Linked DNA regions of Oreochromis niloticus. The protein of the gene in region 1 binds, or shares a complex with, the protein of each later gene. Links are inferred from orthologs where the notes say so. Each region holds a gene or a part of one and is shown on either strand. Other genes may lie near its edges. The genes, in order: atp2b1a and nptnb.

Evidence for each region.
Region 2: the proteins of atp2b1a (region 1) and nptnb are in contact, whole or in part, in a cryo-EM structure (PDB 6A69), measured with the Homo sapiens proteins. The link is inferred for Oreochromis niloticus from reciprocal best matches to the Homo sapiens genes ATP2B1 and NPTN. Residues at the interface, in NP_001353449.1 of Homo sapiens: Phe954, Asp955, Ile956, Asp957, Glu996, Arg997, Asn998, Val999, Glu1039, Gln1040, Leu1042, Trp1043, Ile1045, Phe1046, Met1049, Gly1050, Leu1052, Leu1053, Gln1056; in NP_036560.1 of Homo sapiens: Arg245, Ser246, Asn248, Arg332, Arg334, Pro339, Pro342, Phe343, Gly345, Ile346, Glu349, Ile350, Ile352, Leu353, Ile356, Ile357, Tyr360.

The regions. Positions count from the first base shown.
Region 1 is NC_031981.2:11,777,477-11,790,132, reverse strand, and holds the start of atp2b1a (plasma membrane calcium-transporting ATPase 1), read left to right. Parts: upstream 1-8,002; 5' UTR 8,003-8,160; intron 8,161-12,656. UniProt on the Homo sapiens protein: Catalyzes the hydrolysis of ATP coupled with the transport of calcium from the cytoplasm to the extracellular space thereby maintaining intracellular calcium homeostasis.
Region 2 is NC_031965.2:29,767,695-29,780,199, forward strand, and holds the start of nptnb (neuroplastin), read left to right. Parts: upstream 1-6,291; 5' UTR 6,292-6,756; coding exon 6,757-6,832; intron 6,833-12,505. Other genes in the region: UDP-glucuronosyltransferase 2B17, read left to right, coding at 12-1,590; calcium homeostasis modulator protein 6, read right to left, coding at 4,161-4,313, 4,521-4,985. UniProt on the Homo sapiens protein: Probable homophilic and heterophilic cell adhesion molecule involved in long term potentiation at hippocampal excitatory synapses through activation of p38MAPK. May also regulate neurite outgrowth by activating the FGFR1 signaling pathway.

The DNA.
Region 1 (12,656 bases):
AGTTGTAACGATGATGGGGATATGACATGTAATCATGGGGTTGGTCACAATTTGGTAACTAAGCAGGGTTGTGATTTTACCCCCATTTGCATCTCTTCTGGAGCAACATGTCATATTTGCTCCGGTTTTGTGCAACAAAATGAAAAAAGTGGACACTCCTAAAACTCCTGTAACGATGACTGGTTCTTTATGGATTGTGTATGTTGTTGTCTTTGTATTCCTGATGTTGCCTATTCTTTCTGGCCATCTCTGTTTGTTTAAATCACTTTTTTTTAAAGCAATGATTCCCTTTTGCGTTGCTTTGCATGTTCTCAATTGGGAAAAATGTAGCTTTAACTCAAGATAAAGCAAATGCCAGATTTGTGTTCCTAACAGTTGTTGATACTCAATCTCACAGACACATTTCAAACGATATAAAAAAAACATTTCACCACAGTGAAACCACAAAGTCTGGTGTTTGTTCCACAAGCAGGAAAATGTCATTTAAATTCCACTCACATTCACAAATGCAGCTTTGAGAATATTCTGTTGTTTGACTCACTTCATGTGCTTATTTGTTATTTAAGGTTCATAGTTATATTTTGTGTGCCCATTAGAATGGGTTTTCTTCCTGTCTTGTTTAAATAAGTTAAATGTGATGCTGTAGGATCTCTTTTCACTTTTCATACTCCATTTTAGCTTTGGTCTCTTGAAGTGCCTTGATCAGTGTAATCATGAAAAGAACGTTGGTTATGTACTATAAATCCAGATTCTCTGAGCAAAGGCATAGCCATGTGTAATCTGGTAACAAAATCCCAGATTTTAATTATAAGTTTGAATCAGAAACAGAGTAACAAGAAGTACCTGCATAAGCCTCTATGCTATCCCTTTAAAACCTGAACCATGAAATAACTGCCAGAAATCTTTAATTTGTTTGATAATGGAGTGTTTGTTGAACCTTTAGACAAAATATATGTAAAAATATATCAAATTTTAGTCTGCATATATGAGTTTTAATTTGTATCACATTTGCTACATTAGCCATATTTTTGCAATTTAGTCATTAAAAATCCATCCATCCATCCATTCGCTTCCGCTTATCCTTTTCAGGGGCGCGGGGGGCGCTGGAGCCTATCCCAGCTGTCATAGGGCGAGAGGCGGGGTACACCCTGGACAGGTCGCCAGTCTGTCGCAGGGCGTCATTAAAAATGTGTCATGCAATTTATATCATTTTTTGAGGGTAAAAACAAGCCACGCTGATGATGTAGAAGTCTCAAAAACTCACAAAAACACATAAAATACGATACGCTTGGCTTTAAAGGGCTATGCAGTGCACAAGAGCTTCATGCAGTGGTGCTACTACTTCTGAAATTACTTTAATTCATTGCTCTACAGCTTAATGTATTTGTAGTGTAAACTGCTTCTTTTTTACATAGGGATCTATTCATTATTTGTTTTAGGGTGTGCCAAACTGGCTGCTTTACATAAACACCATATCTCATAAGCTATAGATGTTTGCAGACTTATGCGTCACAGCTTGATAAAAAGCCAGGGTCCATGTGCAGGTCCCTGAGGAATCATAGATAGGGCAGTCTTGTACATAAAAACAGCAGGATAGTTTTTAGACAGAATCTATGCAAGCAAAAGAATAGTTTCATTAGAATAGCTGTTAAAAAAATATATACATCACGCATGCATGTCGCAAACGTTGCTAGTTTGAGAAAAGTAACGCAGGAGCAGGCTTTGATTTTTCTAATAGACCAGTCTAAGAGCTGCTAAATATGATACTGCGCCTTTCCAGAAATTAGTGCTATGTATTGATTTTTGTTTTGATTGCTCCTGCCTTTAATGAGTTTGCTAAGCCAATGAGCTGCTAACCATAGCTCCTTCTTTACAAAAGTGAGTTGTATCTAAGTTGTCCAACTCAAGCTGTTGCTTAAAAATTATGGAAAATTCACTCTAGTCCCTGGAAAGTCTCAGACACACATACTGTATGTGTACTGCTTCTCTGTCCTTTGAAAGTCGAAGCAATAGCCTAACCTAGGACAAGGTGTGCACTTGTGTGTCCATCTGTAGTGTGTGTGCACAAATGCTAGGATTCCTGTGCACCAAGAAATTTAGGACCTAGTCTATAACCCTCCCTGTCCTGGTCCTTGTGCCTTTCCCAGAGGAAAAGCCCCCCCATGTGAAAGGGAAGAAATAGGGTGTAAAGGGCACCAAGTTCCCATTGGATCTCCTCCTCTGTGCCCCATCTGTGCCCAGTCAGTGCCACTCTGATTTGGACATTGCAAAAAGCTGTGTGTCATCTTAAGGAAACAAGCTCTTTCAATGCGCCCCTCTCTTGCTCTCTGCGCATTCAGTGGGTTAAGCAAAAAAATCTGATGTGGCCCTGTAATTAAGTTGCCATTAATTGTTTTGCCGGGTCCCTGGTGGCACTGCTCAGACTTTAGGGGAAGAGAAAAGCAGATTTGCTGATGAGCTCCACGCCTAGCTGAACAACTGAGCGCAGTAAAAACGATTCTTAATTACCGCCTGTTGCCACTAATTTACCCAAAGTCACCTCTGCCAGCATGTTAACTAGCCCTTGCTGTCTAGCTGTGCTTAAAAACTCGGGTTTGTTCCCTTTTTTGTTTAATTTATTTCTTATTTTGAGACTGAAACACACACAGTCAGTTTAATTCTGCAATATTTTTGTCCTGTATGTTTTGTTTTCCACTTGCGTTCCAGTGTTTTCCATGAGCACTGGAAAAGTCTAAATGTGGGCTCTCAGGTAGTTTGTGTGCCTTGGCGGTAATGGAATAAACACTATTTATATGCCCTACATTTTATGACATGTAAAATGTTCACTGGCCTGAATGAAACACGCTTTCTAGCTTGACCACTAGCTGGGCCAAATGTAAATACAGAAGATATCAACAGAAATCAGAGCATGGAAAGCATGCTCCCCCTCCCGCCCCCTCCCGCAACCACACCAACACACCCTTCTATGGCTCGCCATCACACGTTCAAGTTTATATGGTGATGGCATACTATAACCATACACAGACTCTTCCACTCACACAACCTAATTTTGCATTGGGTGGGTCGCTGTCCTTACAAAGTCTGGCCTCAATGGGCACTTGAGGTGAATTATTGTTTGCGAGTGGAAACTTGGCCAGATAATCTCAGTGCTGCTGGCTCAGGGCTGAGTAAGACCACTGTCTCCTTCCCTACGCACACACGGGGCACACACAGCTTTTGTTTTACCATCTCTATTTCCAGTTCACACTTATTTGCTGACTCTTCGCCTTTTACAATAGCTCCTTGTCTATGTACTTTTGCTCCATCTTTCTCTTCCTTTTCTATGACCTCTGCTTCTCCTCCTGCTCTCTCTCTCCACTACTCTTTTTCCCAGAAAACTCTGGCCTTTATCCCACAGGCCATTCACCTCTCTGTGGCCGTCCTTGCCAGTGCCATGCAGTAAATTCCTGGGGTAGCTGGAAACACAAACATGCACAAACCTAAGGCAAGCAGCTCAATCAAGACAGACCCCTCCATAGCACCACTTCACCTACCACCACCTTTCCTTTCTCAGTTTTCCTTCGCACAAGGGGTCTTTGTCAGTAAGACTGCTCCACAAGGTCTCTCTTTAGATCTTCTCTTCAGCATTTGTCTGCACCATAGGTATAATTCATGTGTCTGTGTCTCGGCTGTTTTGCCAGTCAGCAGAGTTTGAATGTTAATCTTATAATTGGGGTCTCCTTTAGCAGACATTAACCAATGTTTGGACTCAGGATTTCAGGAAAAATGTGATTACAGTGATTATGGCAGACTAATGATGTGTTAGATAAGAAAGGTTTGTTATTACCCGGTGCAACAGCCATCCCTAATATCAACTTTGTCTGATTAATATAGCTCTTGTCCGTTTTGAATAATGGGTCTAAGCAGTCTGTTACAGTGCAACCTTATAACACTAAAACCAACTTTATTTGACATATTAACATCATATAAAGTGAGATTTATGTATAAATGCTTAGAAAGTGGACTTCTGATTAATTTGCAATTGGAAAATTCTTACACGTCAGCATCTGTGATCGACAGTCTTTCTCTCAAGTATGGAACACTGTTTTTCCTCTTCCTCTTCAAAAGAAGGAAGTCACTCCCCACACCTCTATGTCTAACGCTTTGCCAATGTGCTGAGCCAGTGGAAAATGAGATGTCCGCTCAAGAAACAAAGTGGTGTAGATAGATTGGCTGACCAAAGGAAGCAATATTCATACAGCATGTCCTGACTGATAGGGACCCGGCTATGTACGTCTGCTAATGAGACATCTTCATGTTCACATTTTCCACTTGCCTCGCCTCAAGAGGCACATGATCTGCTGGTGCAACACAGGCATTTCCACCGCAGTCATGTGTTTATTTAGAAAAGTGTTTAGGAATTAACTGATAATCTTTCTGTGGCTTCTGTTTTCCATTCCCTTTGGCTTTTTTCTTTGTGCAAATGTCTTAATCAGTTCAGAGTCGTGTGTTGTCTGAAAATGTGATAAGCTGCAGAGTCGGCAACAACGTTCCTCGCACAACAGCAGACACATTCATACAGTGCCGGTTGCTAGACGCTTTTCAAACCGAACCTGCAATTATTTGTCAAGCTATCTTGTCTCATGGTGTGTAGAACAGTACCCCAGTAATTAAAGCTCTATGTTGGGATGAACGAATAATCACGCTTACCAAAGCTGTGTTGCTTAACTTTTTTGCCTCCCCTGACTATCCACCTCAATGCGACCATGTGTTTACCTTTAACCTAAATTATTAAATGAGGTTCTGTTTTGAGTATTTTTGCAACACATGCAAAAGTTACCCTGAAGGCAACATCCCCTTTTTGAGTGCATTTTGGCATGTTTCATCATTATTGCTTACTCAGACAGCATGAACAAGACATTAGCATGCACAAAGGCTAATGACACTTGACATTTACTGTAGTTCACGAGATGCTCCAGAGCATATGGCAAATTTCCACCAAGAAACTGAGTCAATAGAGAGATTCAGACAACAGCTGTGGGGAAAATGATTGGTCTCCTCAATTTGAAAACTCAACATGGCTCTCAGAGAGTCCCGCTATTTGCATAGATGCAATTTCCTTGAGTATTAAAAACCAGGAGGAGTTCTGCAGTGGTTTGGTTTCTGGCGTTCGTAGACACACACGTGGTCATTTCCACTCAATTTTCAGGGCTAAACAATTCACTTTTGCCATTAACAACCTGCATCTAGATTGTTTCCCATACAACTAAAAGGCCCTTGGTGCGAGTCTTCATCATATTGCTCACTTCTGTGGTCCATAAGTGTTTAAATGGATTGAAAGATTAAGTGGTTTCAAGTGAACAAGCACGGAGTGATGGTACGAGGCAGAATTCCAATTTATTTTCTGTCAGCTTTAGAAAAGACATTACAAACATCATTAACAGCTTAGAAAGAAATTGTTATCATGGAAAAAGCTTTGTTTTTTACTGATGTTTTGTAATGAATTCTAATGGTTTACAGTTAAAATATGCATGCATGCTTTATGTTCCATTATTCACAAAGGGTTGCCACAGCATGTAAGCTCTGTGTGTTTTATTTGGCTGATTTTTATGCCAGATGCCCTTCCAAAAGGATTTGTGTTTCCTCCCAGGATGAAACCGAAGATCTTTCTTGTGAAGTGAATATGTAAACCACTACACTCTATGTGCTGTGCTTATACACATTAAGGTTAACAGTGAAATGAAAGGTTCACAGTTGATTAGCACAAAAACAGGAAGCAGGAAGTAAAGAGCTGTCCCCTCTAAAGATTCTTTCATGCATTTTTGTACAAACTGAACAATATCTAAAACTTAATTTGTGATCTTTCAGATTCATTTGCTACCCCTGAAATGAGCCAGACTGAACAACATGAATAAAGATACCCCACTAAATCTTCAACTTTCCTCCAGAGCAGGCCAGCTGATCTACAGTCCTCATGTATTTTTGATGTTGATTGTAAAGATCCATTATGAATCTATATTTGCATTCCTACCATTACCTTAAGTGTGTCCTCTGGTTCAGATAAAGAAGAAGGGCTGATGCACAGACTGATGGACTGAAAAAGAGAGAAAGAGATGCCCTTGGGGGTCAGTGAATAACCTAACATCTGCTCTGGGTTGACCAACACAAAGCACTGCAGGCTGCCACTTAGGAAGCCACCAAAACCACTGACAGTGAACTGCAAAAATGGCAGACGTAAAAATAGATCTTGTCGCTGCTTTGGCACTATAGGGTTTAAAGGCCTGTGGAGCAAAGTCTGTGTGCCAAAGCTTGTTCAGATGAGGCCCGTGTTACTGCTGGGCGTACAGGGGAAAAAACATCAGCATCTAAGCACTGCTGCAGCTGCAGCTGCAGTTCTAAAGTTTTAGAGCAGAAACCTGACAGCTCACAATGTGCGAAGGGAGTGTGGGAGCTTCTGCAGCTTCTGCGAACAACGTTTTTTTGGGGTTTTTTTTTTTTGCCTATCTATGCATTTTGACTGATTGTTCCTCATTCTGCTTTAGACTGAGCCATTAAAGTCAAATCACAAAGACATAAGGCCAAATGATTGCACAAATCATCTTACATAAATCAAGTTGGGGTTTTTTTCCCCCTACTTCTTCTCTTCCTCTTTCTTTCCAAATCTCTTTTCTCCGCTTGACGTCTGTCTGACTCGGAAATTCTGAAATGATATTTTCCAACTTTTAATTTGCATACAAGCCTAAACACGTTGGACCTTTCTGAAGAGGCAGCTGCTGCCGTGCACTCAAGGCACTCGTGTTAATGATAAATCCCATTATGTCCAGACAGCAAGTGTATTACACTGAGTTTTGACCCTGGCCATGGTTATTTTCTGTTTATGATCTACCACAACTAATCTTTCTTTTTTTTCTATTTTTTTTTAATTGTCAAATAGCAGTTTCTCTACCTGACTTGGTTTGTGCAAAGTTCAGATGGATTTTGCAAGAACCACCTTGTCTAAATTCTGGATCACAGACTTTCTAATTCCAATTAACACCTTGCATTCTATGTTGCATAAAAAACATAAATTACAACATATTAGACAATTACAGGGGACTTGTGCTGCAATATATTGCAGTACCAAAACGCTGTTGAATTTCTGTCACATCGGTGTAATGGCTCACATTGGAATGCAGTGCTGTTTGCATTTCATTGACAGCTGCCCCCAGTAATAAGGAGGCTGATTGTGCAGAGTGTGTGACTCCCCGAGAGTACTAAAGGAATCGCAAAGAATACAGGCATTGAATCTGGTGAAGAGAGAGAGAAAAAAAACGCACTACGTCATGGAAAGAATAACGTCAGGTTTGATTAGGCGTCGAGGGGAAGAGCGTCGTGCAGCCTAGGTGGGGCTGAGTCGCCCGGACAGCAAAACCGATGCATTTTCGTTGCCTACTGTCTGCAGGCTGCATCATATGATGGGGGGGCTGTTGAATAATCCTGTTATTATAAAGCTACACGGGAGCAAAGAAGGAGTACTAGGGGATCATGACGTAACCGTTTCCATAGGCGACTGATATGCTGGCTAAGCCAATGGGAATCCACACCAGCGGTCCATACCCATCCTCCTTTTGACGTGCATCACATGTCCCCGGCGGTGTTGTGACAGAAATGAAAAAGGCGAGGCGAAATGGTTCAGCCCCGTGCACTTCCGCTATCGTCGAGTTCCACTTTTACAACGTTATCTTTTGGCCGGTTGTCTCTCACGATATGCCCGATATCGCTTCAGCTTGATTTTAGCATTTTAAAATCATAGAGAAGCAACAATACAGCTGTGAGACACGCACCTTTTATCGTGTTGCATTAAAAATCAAATAGGTGGTCTTGGTCTGCATCTCTTCTGTGATTAAACATAAAGAGATTATGTATATTCATCAGTCAGCCACGTGAGTTTCGGCAACATTATACCGCTTTTCCACCGCACGCATGTGTCATATGATTTCCGGTCAAACTGACATGGGTTTCCATGAGCTCGAGGGAGATAGGAACTATCTTGGCAGTGTGAGGTTTGCAGGCTTTGGTTGTGGTTGTGACAGCGCAGTGGGCGGGATTATACCTCAGATCAGGGGAGAGAGTCTAGTCTTTGGTGAGACTGAGGGGGAGTTAAAGAGAGAAAGGGAGCTGGGGTGCTCTTCAGAGGACGGAGTAAGTATTATTTTACTTATATTTTTCTCTATTAGCGCGGCAAAATGCCACACAATAATTGATCTTTCCAAGTGATTTTGGATGTTGCATGCAACCCCATAACCGGTTAAGGTCTTCTTTTTTTGTGTGCACTGATCAACGAGGGCCAACCACTGTGGGTCGCTTGCCTTGGGTAGTTAGCTGTATACCAAGCTAATGTTAGCTATCTTGGAGGGATACTGACATGGGGCGGTTCGTTTTCCAACACAGGTATCTAATCAGCCCGGGATGCTGCCAGATTTCATACGCTTGTGCTTAGTTTGCTTGGGACTTCTGCGTGGCTCATGGTTAAGTTTTTAGACTTGTCAGTCTGTTGGAAGTATCTTTTGTGAATTTCCCCTCTTTGCAGTCAGCATAAGCTAACGCATTAGTGCTAGTTGGCTAACCGTGTACGCTAGTCAGGACCGCTCTTATTTTTTAATAACATATCTGCTGGGCTGCACATTGACGTTTCGACTTGGTCGCTCCTCGCGGAGTCCCGCTGTTAAATAACACTTCAACTATGGACCTTCATATCTTTAAAAGAAAGTTGTCTGCATTGCATGTTACATGGTGATATGTCATTCAGCTTGTCTAACGCCTCGCAGTTCCCGTTTTATATGCAGATACATAACGTTAGTGGAGTAATACTACAAAACGGCCTGGAACTATATTCCGCGAGCGCTGGGAGTCCACGCGCTGCGGTTGCTCAACACACTCAACACGGGCAACTCGGGGAACCCATAAAACCGCATTAGTCATTTCGGCTCTCTGTCACCACAGTAAAGGTGTTTTGAATCGTCGTTTATTGACTAACATCATTTTTAGGGGCTGTCATTTGCTGGTGTCGAATTCTGTTGTCCAACACTTAATTTGTACCGTATTCTGAAGACAATAATTTGACCGCAACTAGTAGGGTTTTAATCTCAAGCCCCAATCTCCTAACCTCCTCGAAACAATTACGAGAAACCCATTTGAGCAAGTATGGCTGTTTACCACTCTTAAATGTCCCGGTATGGCAAAACTGTCAGGTTATTTCCGAACTAAGGCGGAAAAAAACTGCCACTTTTAGTCCGTAACGCTACTGAAAGAACAACGCTTATTTCATACTTGCACTGCAACAGAAACTCACAGACTGACTGCAGCTCGTCTCTTTAAATTACCTTCCACTTGCCCGTAATGTATCTCGTATTTCTTAGGGCTTCCAGGTACTGCAAGATGATTACGTACGTTAACGTTACACTCTTAATCTTGATTGACGACGTAATATAGATTGGTGCACTCAGACATTACCTGCAGTATCCAGGTCGATGTGGAGTGCAGCCACAGAGCACCTTTTGGTGTCTAGTTGAAGGGATCACTCCTTATCCAATTAAATAGCACCCAGCTTGCTGCAGCGCCAGCAGTGTCTTCCAGTGTTTGTATAATGACTTGTGATTCTACAGTGGATTGCAGGTATTATTGTAGTTGTATGAAAAGACGCTGAACTCGGTGACACAGAGCGTGCTAGTCACCTGGAGTAGTCATCTGTACTCTGGTCTTGTTAAATAATATAATGACAGATAAGCAATTACACGGATTTTATAATCACAATATCTTGCCGCACAATATTGTATTAGCTGCAATGACACTTGCTGTGATTCAGTTTGGAGATATGTTTGAATTTTCTAGCTAATACTGCATTAGAAGTCTATTTTCCAGGTTTAGCAGTGAGTAATGCTTCATCGTAACTGCCTAGCGCAGCATATAGAAATTGAGTTTGTTTAATGATTCACTTAAATCATCAGTAACACAATCTGTTGCTGTGTCTGAGCCCTTTGAACTCAGACTGTTGCTGTCACTCAAGAATGACAAAAATATCTTTTCTTATTCCTTGCTGTGCCACCCTTTTTTCTAATGGCTGATTATAGACATTACTCCTCTCCTTGAGTGACTAATATGAGTCAGTAGTTATTTGAATATTTTTTTTTTTTATTCTTTTGAAAAATTGTTATATTGCAGAGGGAAGATCACTTGACCTTTGTGGCTCATTAGTTCGTTTGTAGAAAATCAACCTTTCAAGACTACACCTCTACGTCCTTTTCAGCAGTGCATGTTTTTTTTTTTTTCTCATTTGCTGTGCTGAAGAATGTTGTTCTCACCAATCTTACATGGTCCTTGCTGCTGAGATAAGTGCTTATTTTCGAGTACTTACAAAGGTATAGCCACTGTGAAGTAATTCGTCATATCTGGTATACTTTCTTCCAGGCAGTTGTCGCCTGCCAAATCTGTTCCTAACTCATCATGGATGAGTTCCTCTTACAGCTGCTGGTTCACATGTTCACGTATTTCATTGTCATGCTCTGCACTGCAGACAACTACAAGCCCAACATTAAGAAAAATTACTAACAATTGTCCTTAGTGTACTCTGTAATTCTTCAAGTTTAATGTTTATAATTGCTAGTTTAAAGCATTATTTCACTGAGGTGACCACTGCAGGTCATTAATCTAAGGTGGCGTTAAGCCTCATGTAAACCAGCATGGAAAGCTAAATATAGTGTGGTTTTGAACCACGAAGTGTCATGTATTCATGGTAACATTTACCAATGATGGCATTTTACTTATCTTTCTTACTGTGTGTGGATTGTAAGGTCAAGATTATTTCAAGCAGGGGTTTTAGGTTACAGGGTCTTTTAGTCATTCATTACTACTCGTTCATTTAAATCTTGTCTAACTTGGCACGAGAAACAAATTACACAGGTGTGACTACCAGTTATATGCTTCAGTTTTTAGTTGCAGGAGATCAAATGTACTATAATTGAAGATTGGCAAAAGTTATTATATACTGGGATTGTGCCTAATTAAAATAATTGCAAGGCACGTGCTACAAAATAGCCCTGAAGACTGTCAGAAGGTCTAAATATGCTACCAGTCAGTCTGACGGACATTTATGTTTGTTTTGGCATCTCTACAACATGGTGGGCTCTGTGGCTTGACGTGGCAATGATTAAAGGGACATTTTTAAAGTGGGCTAGATGATTTAACTGTAATATTATTATTATTATTTGTTCATTTGAACTTCAGCGTCATTGAGCTTATATAATAGAAGCATACTTCCAGACCCCAGCTTCTCTCATCGTAAAGCATTGCTGGTTGTCTTGGATGTTATCACTTGTGGCATACAGTATACAGTCCTGCTCTGGTGTAATCTTCTCTACACATTCAAACTGCCATTGTAGCATGCTCTGAAAAATCTTGCAACATTAGTACAGTGGAGGAGGGCCAGTAATATCATATGGTGGAGGCAATAGGAGAGCAATTCCTGCCTAATCAAGTCAGAGCAGTGTATTCGTGGGAAACAATAGCTCCCTGAAAGACCACTTTGAGTTGATTTGTAATATTTTTGATTTGAATCAAATGAAATCATGTGGATCATGAAATCATTTGTCTGTTCCTCGAAGCTTCAAAACTTTCTTTCTAGTATACATTTTCACTTGGGCTATTTATTAACAGTTACAGCAAGTGGTTTCGTCATAATGAATGCAGAACACATGCATGACGTATTAAACCATAGCAATGCATTCTGTACTACAGGTTTGGGGTTTCTTCGGGGGGGGGGGGGTTGTGAAATATATAATCCACAAGTCAACAACTGTACATCCTAAAACTGAAATGATGGCAACAGCAATTTCAGACTGCAGCAGATAATGATGGGACAGCAGGACCCCAGGCCACCGATCTGGTCTGTGGAATCGCACATAACCAAGAACACAGAAAGCCTCTGATCTTCAAAGTGCCTCAATGAAAGATGCCTCATTTTGGAACATTTTGCATAGATGTGCATAGGATTGAAAAGCTCAATAAAATCATACCTCCTGGTTTGCATTAACATCTTTGACAGGAGGAAATTAGTAGAACAGAATAAAATTTTTATATTCATGTATAGTACCCCCCCCCCCCCCCCCCCCCCCCCCAATTTTTTTATTTCATTTTATTTTATTTTATTATTATTTTTTTAACAGTGGGGGGTAAGAATACAACTTTAACAACAGGATAGTCTTCCAGCACTCAAAAATACTCATGTGCTCAGTTTTACTTGTTTAAATGCCCAGCTCCCCCCTCATTTATGCATGTAAAAACAATTATTTTTGACATGCTCTATATAAGTTAATATAAACAGTTTTGAGGAACCGGTTAGTCTTCATGTGCCTAGATGGCCACTATGTACTAAATTTTATAACTTGTCTGTTCTGTTGTTATGTAAGAGGTTAAAACCCTGTCTATAGCAATGTGCTTCACCTGCATTGCTTTTGTAAGACAGCGTCAAACTATTTGTTGGTAAATTTAAGATATTACTGCGTGTGCATTTCAAATTCGTACTGCTTGTTGTATAGCAAATTCTTTTTGTTGGCACAAAGGTTCAAAAAGAAAAGTACAACCTGTTCCTTAAAAGGTTTGAAAAGTAAATGCTAAGCGTGAAAGTAAAACTTTAATTGCTT
Region 2 (12,505 bases), on another chromosome or scaffold:
CCAACCTTTAGAATTAAAATGCACTGGACCTGCATTCTGATCAGTTTCTGCTGGCTCTGCCCAACGTTGGTTCATGCTGGGAAAGTGCTTGTTTTTCCAGTGGATGGGAGCCACTGGGTAAATATGAATGTCATTATTCAGCAACTACATCTAAGGGGCCACCAGGTTTCTGTTGTGCGTTCAACAGACAGCTGGTACATCAAGGAATCCTCCCCATTCTATACTTCAATTACGCTCGATATGGAATCAGGGTTTGATGAAGACTTTTTAACAGCATTTATTGCGGAACTGTTGGACATCCAGAGGGGAGGGATGTCTGTCTGGAAACGCTTTAAACTGGAAATGGAACAAGCAAAAAAAGCCTCTGAAATGCAAAAGAAACAAAGCAAATTGATTGAAGGGCTTTTTGAAAACAAAGAGCTCATACAGTCACTAAAGGATGCAGAATATGATCTTGTTCTGACAGATCCTACCACACCAACAGGTGCCATACTTGCCCAATACCTCAAGTTGCCTCTTGTTTTTAATGTTAGATGGACTAGTCAGGGTGAAGGCCATTTTTCAATTGCACCATCTCCTCTCTCTTATGTTCCCATGGTAGGGACTGAGCTATCTGATAAAATGAGCTTTTTTGAGAGGCTGCTAAATGTCCTAATTTTTGGTTTCGCAGAATATCAGATTGCCCAGTATTTGCTACCACATTATGAGAACCTCATTGAAAAATATTTTGGTCCAGACACAGACTACTTCTCCATGTTTCAAGCTGACCTGTGGCTAATGAGAGTGGATTTTGTGTTCGAGTTTCCTCGCCCCACCATGCCTAATGTTATCTATATGGGAGGGTTCCAGTGCAAACCAGCAAAACCGCTTCCACAACATTTGGAGGACTTTGTGCAGAGTTCTGGAGAACATGGTGTGATCCTCATGTCTCTGGGAACTTTGATTGGAGAACTACCCCCTGACTTAGCTGAAGCGATCGCTGCAGCTTTTGCAAAATTACCCCAGAAAGTCATTTGGCGGTATAAAGGTGACAGGCCAGGCACTCTGGGTAACAACACTTTGCTGGTGGACTGGATGCTACAGAGTGACCTATTAGGGCATCCTAAAATAAAACTTTTTGTGGCTCATGGGGGAACAAATGGTGTTCAAGAAGCTATTTATCATGGAGTCCCTATTTTAGGACTTCCTCTGGTTTTTGATCAACATGATAATTTATTTCGAATCAAAGAAAGAGGAGCAGGGAAAGTCATAGATGTTTTTACTATGAATGAAGACATTTTCTTTCAAGGTATTATGGAAGTCCTGAATGATCCCTCCTACAGGATGAACATGCAGAGACTTTCCAGGCTGCACAGAGATCAGCCAATAAAGCCACTGGACAATGCCCTCTTCTGGATAGAGTTCGTCATGAGACACAAAGGTGCAGCTCACTTAAGAACTGAATCCTACAAACTGCCCTGGTATTCCTACCACTCTGTAGATGTGATACTTTTCTTAGCTGCAGTTGTGCTGGTTATTCTGGGCACCTTTGCTGTCTTAATAAAACGCCTATGCTCTATGTGCCCGAGGACAAAGCGTCAACGTGATTAAAAAGAAATAAAATGGCAATTAATGTAAAACTTTAAACACGTAAATCATAAAATGTTGTATTGTCTTGTGGTACTGTGATTTGATGGGGAAAAGAAAAAGAAGATACAAATAATTAATTCTTTTAAAATTGTGCATTTTATTAGTAAAGAAATAACATAGTTAAGGCTGACCATATTTGATTAAGTGTATTTCACAGTACTTTAAATTATATCCTGTCAGTATATTTCAGTGTCTTTTAGAATTTATAGCACTTTGATATACTGTACTGTATGTAAAGTCAAACTAGTCTATATGGATTTTACTTTAACCCTTAAGTGAAACAAACAATACAGTTGTTGTCACTGTAGAATGAAAGAAAAGTGTGACCAAAGCATATTTGTACTGTTCATTAATTTCTGTGCTGTGGAGAATCTGCTCTCATTTTCATCTAATCATCTGGCTTTACGAGTTTAGTGACTCCATGTGACTTCACTGTTCAGCTATCTTTGAAAGGTTCTCTTAATTGCAATGTTTTTCCCTGCTGCGGTCTGGAATCCTATGCACACTATAACTATTACTAAAGGGAATATCTGGAAATTCACGCATGCATCCATTTTCTGAACATGGATGCATGTTAAGAAAATCATCACTTCAAGTTCAAGGGATGTTGGAGCCTATCCTAGTTTACATATTGTGAAGGCAGGGTACACCCTTGACAAGTCACCAGCCCATCATAGGGTAAGCGCTTAGAGACAAACAACCTTGCAATCACATCTATTGCCAATTTAATCACCAATTAACCTAACAAGCATGACTTTGGATCATGGGAGGAAGCTGCACCTAGAGGAAGCCCACACAGGCTCAGAGGAGAACATGCAAACTATGCACAGAAAGGCCCCAGTGAACCAGAAAAGTTCTTGCAGTACTAACCAGTGCATTACTGCACTGCCCTGGTAGGTGAGGTTTCATAACAAACAGCTATACCACTTGCCATTTTATCACTGAAATTACTAGAAGTTACAAACCATTCATCCTGTGTAAGCCAAATTTACCACTCGTTTCAACAAAAATAAGACAGAAAGAAATGAAGTAGTTTGAGATTCCTAGTTGTGGGACTACATTAGTTGGCCAATGAATATGACATCCTGCTGTGTCTAAGAGTGAGGGGAGTGGATTAGATAAAGCCAACAACGTCCTCAGGGCCAAACGGGAAGTTTTGAATAAGCCATCCCTCAGGATGAACATGTTACATTTTCAACACTTAATAGGTTTAAGTGCCACTTGGGGAACATTTTAAAGTGAAAGAAAATACAATTCAGAGCTAAACTACTGCTATTACCATCAGCTTTGTGAGACCCGGTAAAGATCTTCACGCTGCAGAGGTGCACCAGTCTTTAGGATAGCAATTTTCCAATTGCTTAATTATTCATTAAATTTGACTAAAGTCCTAAAGAGTAATTTTACAAGAGCATTTTTTAATTCAAATAATATATTTTATCTAGCACTACATAATTTGTGTAACGCAAGCTCGAGAGATGCTACGTTTTGTTTTCAAGAGCCGATCAAACTGAAAGACAACTCAAATTCTCAAGACCGCAGGTTTATAAGGGCTATGACAAATGACCATATAGAGTATTTTACTTCAATAAATAAATTTTTTATTACAAAAAGATTAAAAAACATACAGAAAGTATTGTTATAGAAAGAATGTCAATGGTAAACAGGTGAAACATTAAGAATTTCACTTAAGTCTGAATTTTTACTGTTACCAAAAAGTAAACATAACGGGGGTCTAACATCTTTGGCTACAGGAGGGAAAACAAGAAGTGAAGTTTCAGTTTAGAGAAGTGAAATTTTCACATTCTTCTTTTAGCAATCACACATTAAAAAAACAATAGTACAAGTCAACTAATATTAGTCGGATCAATATTAGCTGCCTGGTGGATTTCACTTGTGTCAAGATAAAAACACAAACAAAAAAAATTAAAAAACTTGATTACATGACAAAGTGAAATATCACTTTTAAGGGCAAAAACAAACATGCTAAAAATTAAATGCACATATGTGTGCAGTAAAATAATACTGGGGTTAAGAGCTAGTTAGCTAAGGACAAAAATTCAAAAAACAAAGAGATGTTTTACTGAAAGTAATGGTGCTTAACAGTTTCTCTTCTTGCTGGCTCCTGCCTTGTGCTGCTTGTCATGAAGTAGTCTAATAAAAAAGATGAATCAGCTGAATTGGCGATCGATGTACTAATCCATTACTTTATGTAGCTTTCACAGACAAGACACGAAAAGAGAACCATATTTCTCAAAACACACCACAAAGTTTAGGTAAAACAAACAAACAAAAAACCCTCACATTACATTACAGGACAATAAGAGTTTTCACTAATATTGATATTATATGCATATTTATGAGGCTTCATTTGGCAGCATCAGTGGCTATTCAAAAGGCACTGTATATCCCGCTTCCATGAGGAAAATACTCAAATGGTACATCAGTTACAAAAACTTATAGTAAATGTCTGTTCCAAGTATTTACAAGTATCCGTGCCAGCAGGGCAGGTGTGGTGGGCGGTGTGTGTCCCCTCAAGATGTCCGGGTCCTTAGAGAGCTCATCCTGAGCACAGTGAGCTCAGCTACATTTGCATCCTGCATCTCCACCTCTTGTTGGCAGCTTTCTCTGATTACATACACTATGAGACCCACACAGATGAAAATGAGGAGGACTATGCCTATAACCTAGGGTACAGAGGAGCACCACTTTGTTTAGTAAATATCAACATAAAAGGCATCATGTTGGTCAATAATGTCTATTAACAGAGCTATAAAATTTTTCACAGATGTAACAGCAATGAATATGTTCTATAGAGTGCATACTCAGAGATAAGTGCTTTCATTGTGTTCATCATACACAGTGGTTTATTAACAAAAAAGTAATCTACTCACCTGAGAAAACACAAACAGCTGTTGTGAGCGGAGCATTAGTTCTTGTGTGGTGACATCTCCCTCTCTAATTGGCTCACACCATTTCTGTGGAGCTGCCTTGTCAACTAGTACAAATCTACCCTCCCAGTCTGTCATAGCACAAGCAAAGTATTGGCCATCGAGGAACAATAAAATCAGCCACACGATAGCGGGAACAAAACTGGAGAGGGACACAGTTTTCCTGCACCACATATCACATCTGCATCCTTGAATGATTAGCATCAAAGTGAAGGCCATGACGGCAGGAATGATGAAGAATGCTGATGAAAACAATCCGTTCCATTTAGGACTGCAAGGACACTCAAACTCCAGCTCCACCAGCTTCTCTAGTCCCATGAGGATAAAGCCAAAAGCCACATTTGATACCAGAGGACTGTTACTAAGTTCATTTTTCAGCCTGGTAAGCCATTGTTGTCTACTTTCCATACTAGATTGACCAAAGAATGAAGACAGTCGTTGTAAAAAACCCAAAAGAGGATCCTCCGTTGTGAACACATTGGCAACAGCTAAGTGATGCGTAATTAACGCATCCAGGGGTAAGTTTTCCCCTCGGGCAAAATGCCACACTTCCACTCTGATTGGTTTTGAACAAAAGAGGGTGTGCCGTCTGCTCTGACATTTCTCTAGCTGATTGGGCTTTGTGAAGTTTCAGGTGGGGTTACTTTTTAAATGTGGTCTTCCATGGACAAACTGGAGGGAGGGCTGTAAAGTGGAGGGAAGTTTGTTCTGCAATTGAGCAAAGATTGGCATTTTCCAGCAAAAAACACATGTAGGGGTAGCCATATATCCAAAGGCAGGCTTTTACATTGAAGAATCAACTTGCAATCCCCAATTCACACTGCAACAAAACTAAAAGGAAGGGATTTCAAAATGAAAATCATAATCATCTAAAAAAAGGACACATAATTTACCACACATAGCTACAGTTGTTAATGCTTGAAGTACTCAAGCGTTTCCCCCATTTGCTACAAGTGTTTGGAATTACAAAAATGGATGCAAGTTGACACTTTTCTCTTTACCTCTACTGACCACGGGAGGTCGCCCATGCAGCGGGACAGCGCAGATTAAGGATAGAAGAGGATTACAGGAGGCCATGTTGAACTTTCAAGGGGATGTGGTACATACAGCTCCAGAGCACCCAGGCTAGGGATGTGATGACATAATTTATAAATGACCTCAGTGGGCTCAAGAGCATCACCATAATCTCCTCACGTTAAAACCTGACAGTATTTAGGCGCAATGAATAAAGGTCAGGAAAAACACCACTGATGAAAACTAAATTGCTTTCAGCTGATCTTCATATACAACTCAACTTATTTATAAAAAATTAATCATTCATACTCGTGTTATGGCAAGCACTTGACTACTGACCTGCCACTTTATAGGAGACGTTAATTTTGAAAGAGTTGTGGAACGGAGTTAGGGAATCATTTAGATTCAGACTGTAAAACAGTTATAGAAATAACTCTGAGAGGGACAAACATCCATTTCTAATGAGACACTATGAACATGAGCACCTGTCATCTCATAGAAATAATAATAATAATAGTAATGAACTGTAATGCCTAAAGAGGCACGTAATTACTGTCTGAGTTGCCAACACCATCAATTAGCTACATAGGATGTGATTTTGTGTATTCGTTCACGGTCATAAGCGCACTGGGCACGCGCAGCCTGTCGTTACTGCCGTCGGTGTCCTACCAGCATCTGTTCCTCTTTTGGTATTAAAAATAGACCGGTGCTGATAACAGACTTATGTTTCGACTGCATCATTTGCCGTCGGGAATCTTTTGTGCGCTACTTTCATTTTAATCACCGAGCCGTGACCGCGAGAGCGCAAATGCGCATCGGTCTGCGCATCTTTGAATCTTCAGAACCACACTGTGGACAATCTCCCTGACATCCAAAGACCTGTCCCCCGCAATCCTACGAGGCTTCTTCGCCGTTTATGGCCGCACATCGGCATCCCTGAGCCGCCGGCCTCGTTCCGGACTTTTCACTCATCGCTGCTCTCAAAAGCTCTCAGAATCAGGGAGACATTTCTACACCAAATTGAAACCTTCCTCGGCTGGCTATTTTTAAAGAACCCGGTGCAATGCTGGGCCCGTCTCTCTAGATCTTGTGATCACTAGCCTGCACGATCTCTCCTCCCACATTCGTCCGATCAAGACCCCGGTACTCTGATCGAGCCCCAACAATGCATCGTAACGCAGTGATGCTGGCGGTGGTCCTTTTGGGGAACTTGATGCTACCTTTCATCTCTGCTCAAAACGGTAAGCAAACAGCTGTGACCATGACATTACTGTTACCATCGCATTGAGGGAAAGTGACTTGGCTTGTGTGAGGACGCGGAGGGAATTGTTTCTGAAGAGGATTTTGAGACCGCGTTAAAGCCATAGTTTCACACCAAGACTGCAATTAGACAGTAACATATATAATTTACTTACTGCCCACGTTAGCAAATACAAACACGACTGTGTTGACTGCATTGACTTTTCTACAGTGTTATTTATTGCTGTATTGAGTTTTGTTGGCGTGTTTGTAGGATTTAATTTACTGTCGCAGATTATGCTGTGGAACACTACCATTTTTTTTTTTTTTTACTAAAGTCTAAGATTTACAGTTTACCTTCACTACCCACATGAGATAGTAACCTAAAGCTGTCAGTGTTAAGTTTGTTTAGTCAAAGGAGGGGGGCGGGGGGGGGGTGTAGTAAGAGTATGTCAGGCAAGACTAACCTGCTTTGGATGCTGATCAAGTGACATTGTCAGCAGCAAACACGGGCAAAAGATTCACCTGATGTGTCTTGTAAACACTGCAAATACCAGGCCCTTCAGTGTCAAAGATGTGACTGAGCTTCTGCTTGACTGAAACTGTTCTGTGTTGTTCCACATTTTTTTTGCCATGCCAGCATAAATGATCATTTCTTGCGCAAATAATTCTGTCTGTGGGAAATTCTATAGTAAAACAAATAACAGTCCCTTTTTTTAAACATCAGATCTCCTACCAGATAGCCACAGTAAAAATAAATAAATAAAAGTATTTGGCTGATAAGTATCATTTATGAAGAGATGAAAGGATACTTATTTGGCAGTTTAAAAAAAAAATCAGTGTCTGTTAATCATAATAAAACTAGCATGACTTGGTTTAAACAAATGTCAGCAACATGCTGTTGGGTGTTCCAGGCTGTCGTCCTCTGATGCAGCATGTCCTGACTCCAAATTCTGTTGAATCACATCACCCAGAGGGTCTCACATATCAGCAGCCATTCATGAAATCAAAGTGGAATCTTCTGAGTCTTTATATTTTTAATGTTTAAGTATTTCTTTAGTAAGCGTGATTATGAAGACAGCAGTAAGATGATATACTTCTGGAAACAAAGTGTTTAATCTCATAACTGATTCTTTTACAAATCTGATGTAGCCACATGTCAGAACCCACGTGCTCACAAACGAGTGACACTTAATCTGCTATCACAGAAAACTGTGGCAGAGAATTATGATGCATACTCATAATTTTAATGCTTAGTGTCCACCTCGGCTTTGCTGCGGGGGATAATCGAACACCCACTATGCAAGAATTAATATAACATGTGTTTAGATGGTTGTTTGAGAACACTGTGAAAATTCCAGCTCTGTGGTTGCTAATTTTGCAAGTACTTCAGATCGAACGTTTTCAACATTAGCTTAGTCTAATCAACATGGGAATAACAGCTTGCACTAGTTTTATATAATACAAACAACAAAAATGCTAAAATAAATAAAGCGCCGCAACAAAAATCTTGATAGTTTAAAAAAGTGCAAAAACAACCTATGTTTATTTAGCTTGGGGCAGACAGGAGACTCAAATACCAACATAGTTATATTACAAAATTATTACTTGAATTCTTGTGTTTCTTCATTGTTAATTTCTTTGAAGTGCCTGAAGTGTGTGTGCATACTGTGAGGCATTCTCTCATCTTGCTATCTGGAAAATCAAATACACAATAATCCCTCTATTGTTTGACAAAGCTCAAGTAATGGCTTTCCAGACACTTCCTCTGGTCTCTGCCCAGTTTTATTGCCCACTCACTGAGGTCCAGTTCACACTACAGAAACACTCACACACACAATAACATCCAGTGGTCAGTGAGAGGCAGAGCTATGCCACTCAGGCTGTCTGTTTCATCTGTATTATGTAGAAATCACAGGTTTGGTAAGAGCAGTGATAAACTACTGTTAATACCAAAGGTAATATTTGCTCACATTGCATGCAAAAGCCATTTAATTTCTCTCACACAGTTCAGATTTAGGGTAATCGGTGCATGGCTTCTTATGCAATCCGAAATTTTCCTGTGATATTACAGAGTTCAGACAGTGATGTGGGGACAATAATAATTATAAGTGCATGAGATGTAATCACTGTATCTAGGAAGCAGAGGGAATTCAAGTCATTTCCACATTCCCTGGGAAAAGTAGGCCCATATAGGTGCACAGTTTCTGTGACAGAAATTTGGAGGGACTGTAAATAGCATCCGTCCATTCTGCCTCGTTTCTATTTTTACCACCGAGACACAGCACTGAGAACTGTGGCTTTAAGGTCCTTTTGTGAAAGTGAATCCATTAACTCTTAATGGATGGCCTCCTTGTGCACAGCTGCCCGGCCCTCTAAAGAATCACTAGGTGGCTGTGGACTATTTAAGCTGAGAGATGATGTGATCTTGATGCAAAGAAGGTACTGGCTGTTGAGAAGGTAACTAGAGCTGACCTAAGGAAATGCCTTTGCCTCTTACATAATTTCCCCCTACGAATCACGCAGCCTACTCTTTTTTTTTTTGTTTTTGCATCATCTGTGTTTGCATGAATCAAAACGTGGAGAAGGCATACTAAGATATTTTAAATAATGAGCTGATATTATTACTTACATGTTCAAATGTAACCACTGTTGTCTGTCATTGAGGGGCTCAGTTAAGACTGAGCATATATGGCATCGAAGATGGCTTCTTCTTTGGGGTTTACTATCTACGTACAAAGATAGGAAAGCTGACAAGCCACACCTAAATGCATTCCAACATGTAAGCAACAACCCCCTCAAAAAATGTAATAATAGTTTTCTTTGTCAATAAGTGACCTTCTTTTTCTGCTTTATGTCATTTAGGCATTATCTTCATCTGAAGCAAACAAAGCATTTTAAGATGGTTCATTTGTGAGTCTGGAATATATGCTGTGGGACCGAAGCCAAACTCGTACACTGAGTCATGCCTGCCCACTGTGAAATCTGATATGGCCTGTACTGATTAGGAGCACCATTGCACTTTATTAAACACATTGCAGGCATACAAAATAATGATGCACATCTGTAACACACACTGTGATTTATATATATATATATATATATATATATATATATATATATATATATATATATAAACAAACCTATATATATTTTACAGTGATTTGTCTTCAGGATGTTTTTGCTGAGCAAACACATTGCTTTTTGTTTTGTTTTGTTTTTTTTAGTACCACCCTGCTGTGCATTCAGATTCACTCCTGGAATTTCTGCAGTTTAGCTTCTGGCCTCTGATACTTACTGTTCTCATAGCTGGGAACAACCTCAGCTATGAGTGCTGCACAAGGACTCAGGGTCAGAGAGAATATTCAATTAGGATGTTACTTTGATTTATGTGGAGCCAAAATTTCTAATGGGCATGTGTTTTTCAAGTGATATAGCACAACAGAAAGCCTATTAGCTGATTTTCAGCTCACATTTATCATGACAGTAACAAAAATAATGATAAAAATAACTAATAGTTCTAACTAAAAGTACAGTAGGAGACTTGGGAATAGCATTTGTCACCTTGTGTGGTAGACAGTACTTTGAGCACACTAGTGTAGTTCTTATTTCTGGAATTATTGTATTGTTACATCAAATAATTTGAATTCCCTTGCTTTCACTTTTGAGCAGAAGTAGGAAGTGTTTAGTGGTTTTATGGGATTAAAGAATTTTTACCCCCACACAAGGTTTATTGGGATTTAAATCTCATTAAACTGTTGCCTCTCGTCTGTGATCTCAATATCAGATTCAAGTCTTACCAGTAGAACTGAAATGGTGAGCCTCAGGCCTCCCTTTTCTGAAAACTTAGCTTGCAAGTTTTAATTACAATTATATGTGAGTCGGAAAACATGTATTCTATAACTTGTATACTTTTTACTCAGAAATATGTGAACACTGAAAGAATTTTATTAGCATTTATACATCTTTTTATTCCAGATGTTAGTACTGACCCTCTAGTAGTTATATACATTTCATGCATATATTCATTTTGGCATATATTAATATTTTAGAGACTCTGAACCTTTAGTGAAGTGGTTTTAAGAGTAATTCTGTTTACTATACTGAGGGTTAATTAAAGTTTTAATGACCTCAGTGAAAAATACATTCATAAAACCGATCCCATATGTGTGTGGAGTCCTCAAATGTAAAGACACTGTTGCTGATCTAGGCATATGGATCTTATGCAATATCATGAGTCCATCTGCTAAGCTGTTATTAATGTTGTATCTACAGCAGTCAAGAATAGCCTCTGTGCTGCAAATGTTAGTACCAGGGGATACTATCATTATCAGCTTTTAAAATAAAACAGACTACAAGGCATTTCTTTGCTCCACTGAACTTAGTTGAAGTGTTGAAATATGCACCAACGTGAACTGATGACTTAATTTCAATTGGGGCATGAATGGGATACTTCCCATTTGCCTTGTTAAATGATTTATTCTAAATAGTAACTTTATCTAAATATGCACAAACTTGTATTTGATTTTTTTTAAAATATATTTCTCCATTGCTTATGCTCCATGTTGCGTCCTGCACTTTATTTTAGCTCTGCATTTTACAAAATAGTTTTTTCATTCATCCTACTAGATACCCAAAGCACATAGAAGCTCTTACTTAAGCCTAATCTGATGATCTCTGATGATTGCCTACAGAATTTGCTTGACAAATAGATTCCTGATCTTCCTCACTTGTTTTGTGGCACCTGTGAGGGCAGAACATGTTACAGTTTTATGATTATTTTTGATATTTGGAGATTGGTGACCTTAGTTCACTCCGAGGACGGCTAAGCCTCAATTCACCCTGAAATGATATCTAAATTTTCTTTAACAACTGGTGTATAGATGATATATTCACACAGTTTTTTAAAATTAAAAAGTGAAAATCAAAATAAGTTATAATGTGACAAACCCAAGAAGTTTACTGAACTTTAAAAATCCCCTTTTAGGCCACTACTGTGAAAGTTTTCAAGTATAACAAAGGTAATATATATATGTATATATATACATATATATATATATATATACATATATATATATATATGTATATATATACATATATATATATATATATAGATATGTGTACATTTGTCACAGCATCAAGCATATAAAACAAAGATGCTCTCACATTCACAAACTTAAACACTTGCGAATACACACACGCACACACACACATTGTACATAACTGGTTCATTGGCCCTAGGGGGTTTCCTACCCTGTGCTTTCTCTGTCTGTGTTGTGGGACTGTGGACGGGGATCCAGGTTGTAGGCAGGCAGCTGACTCACTCTCAGGCTGCATGGCTGCATGGCGGTGGTGTGGGGCTTGTTGTCAGTTCTCAGGGGAGCTTTCTTCTCTACCTGCATGAAAAGAGCATGTAGGCTTTAATAACTGTGACTTCCATTCAGCTTTAGACAGAGCGTGTTACAGACGACTGTAGGTTATTTTGTGATAGTACTGTACAAATATCAAATGGAGGTTAAATAAGATAAAACATTTAAGTGGGACCATAACACTGTAGTTCTATGACATGAAGGATTTCATTATTTTTTAGTTTGGGATCATTTAAACCATGCTATCATATAATATTTTGACTTTCCTGATTAAATGAGTAGAACTTGAGGTAAATAAAGCTTGTC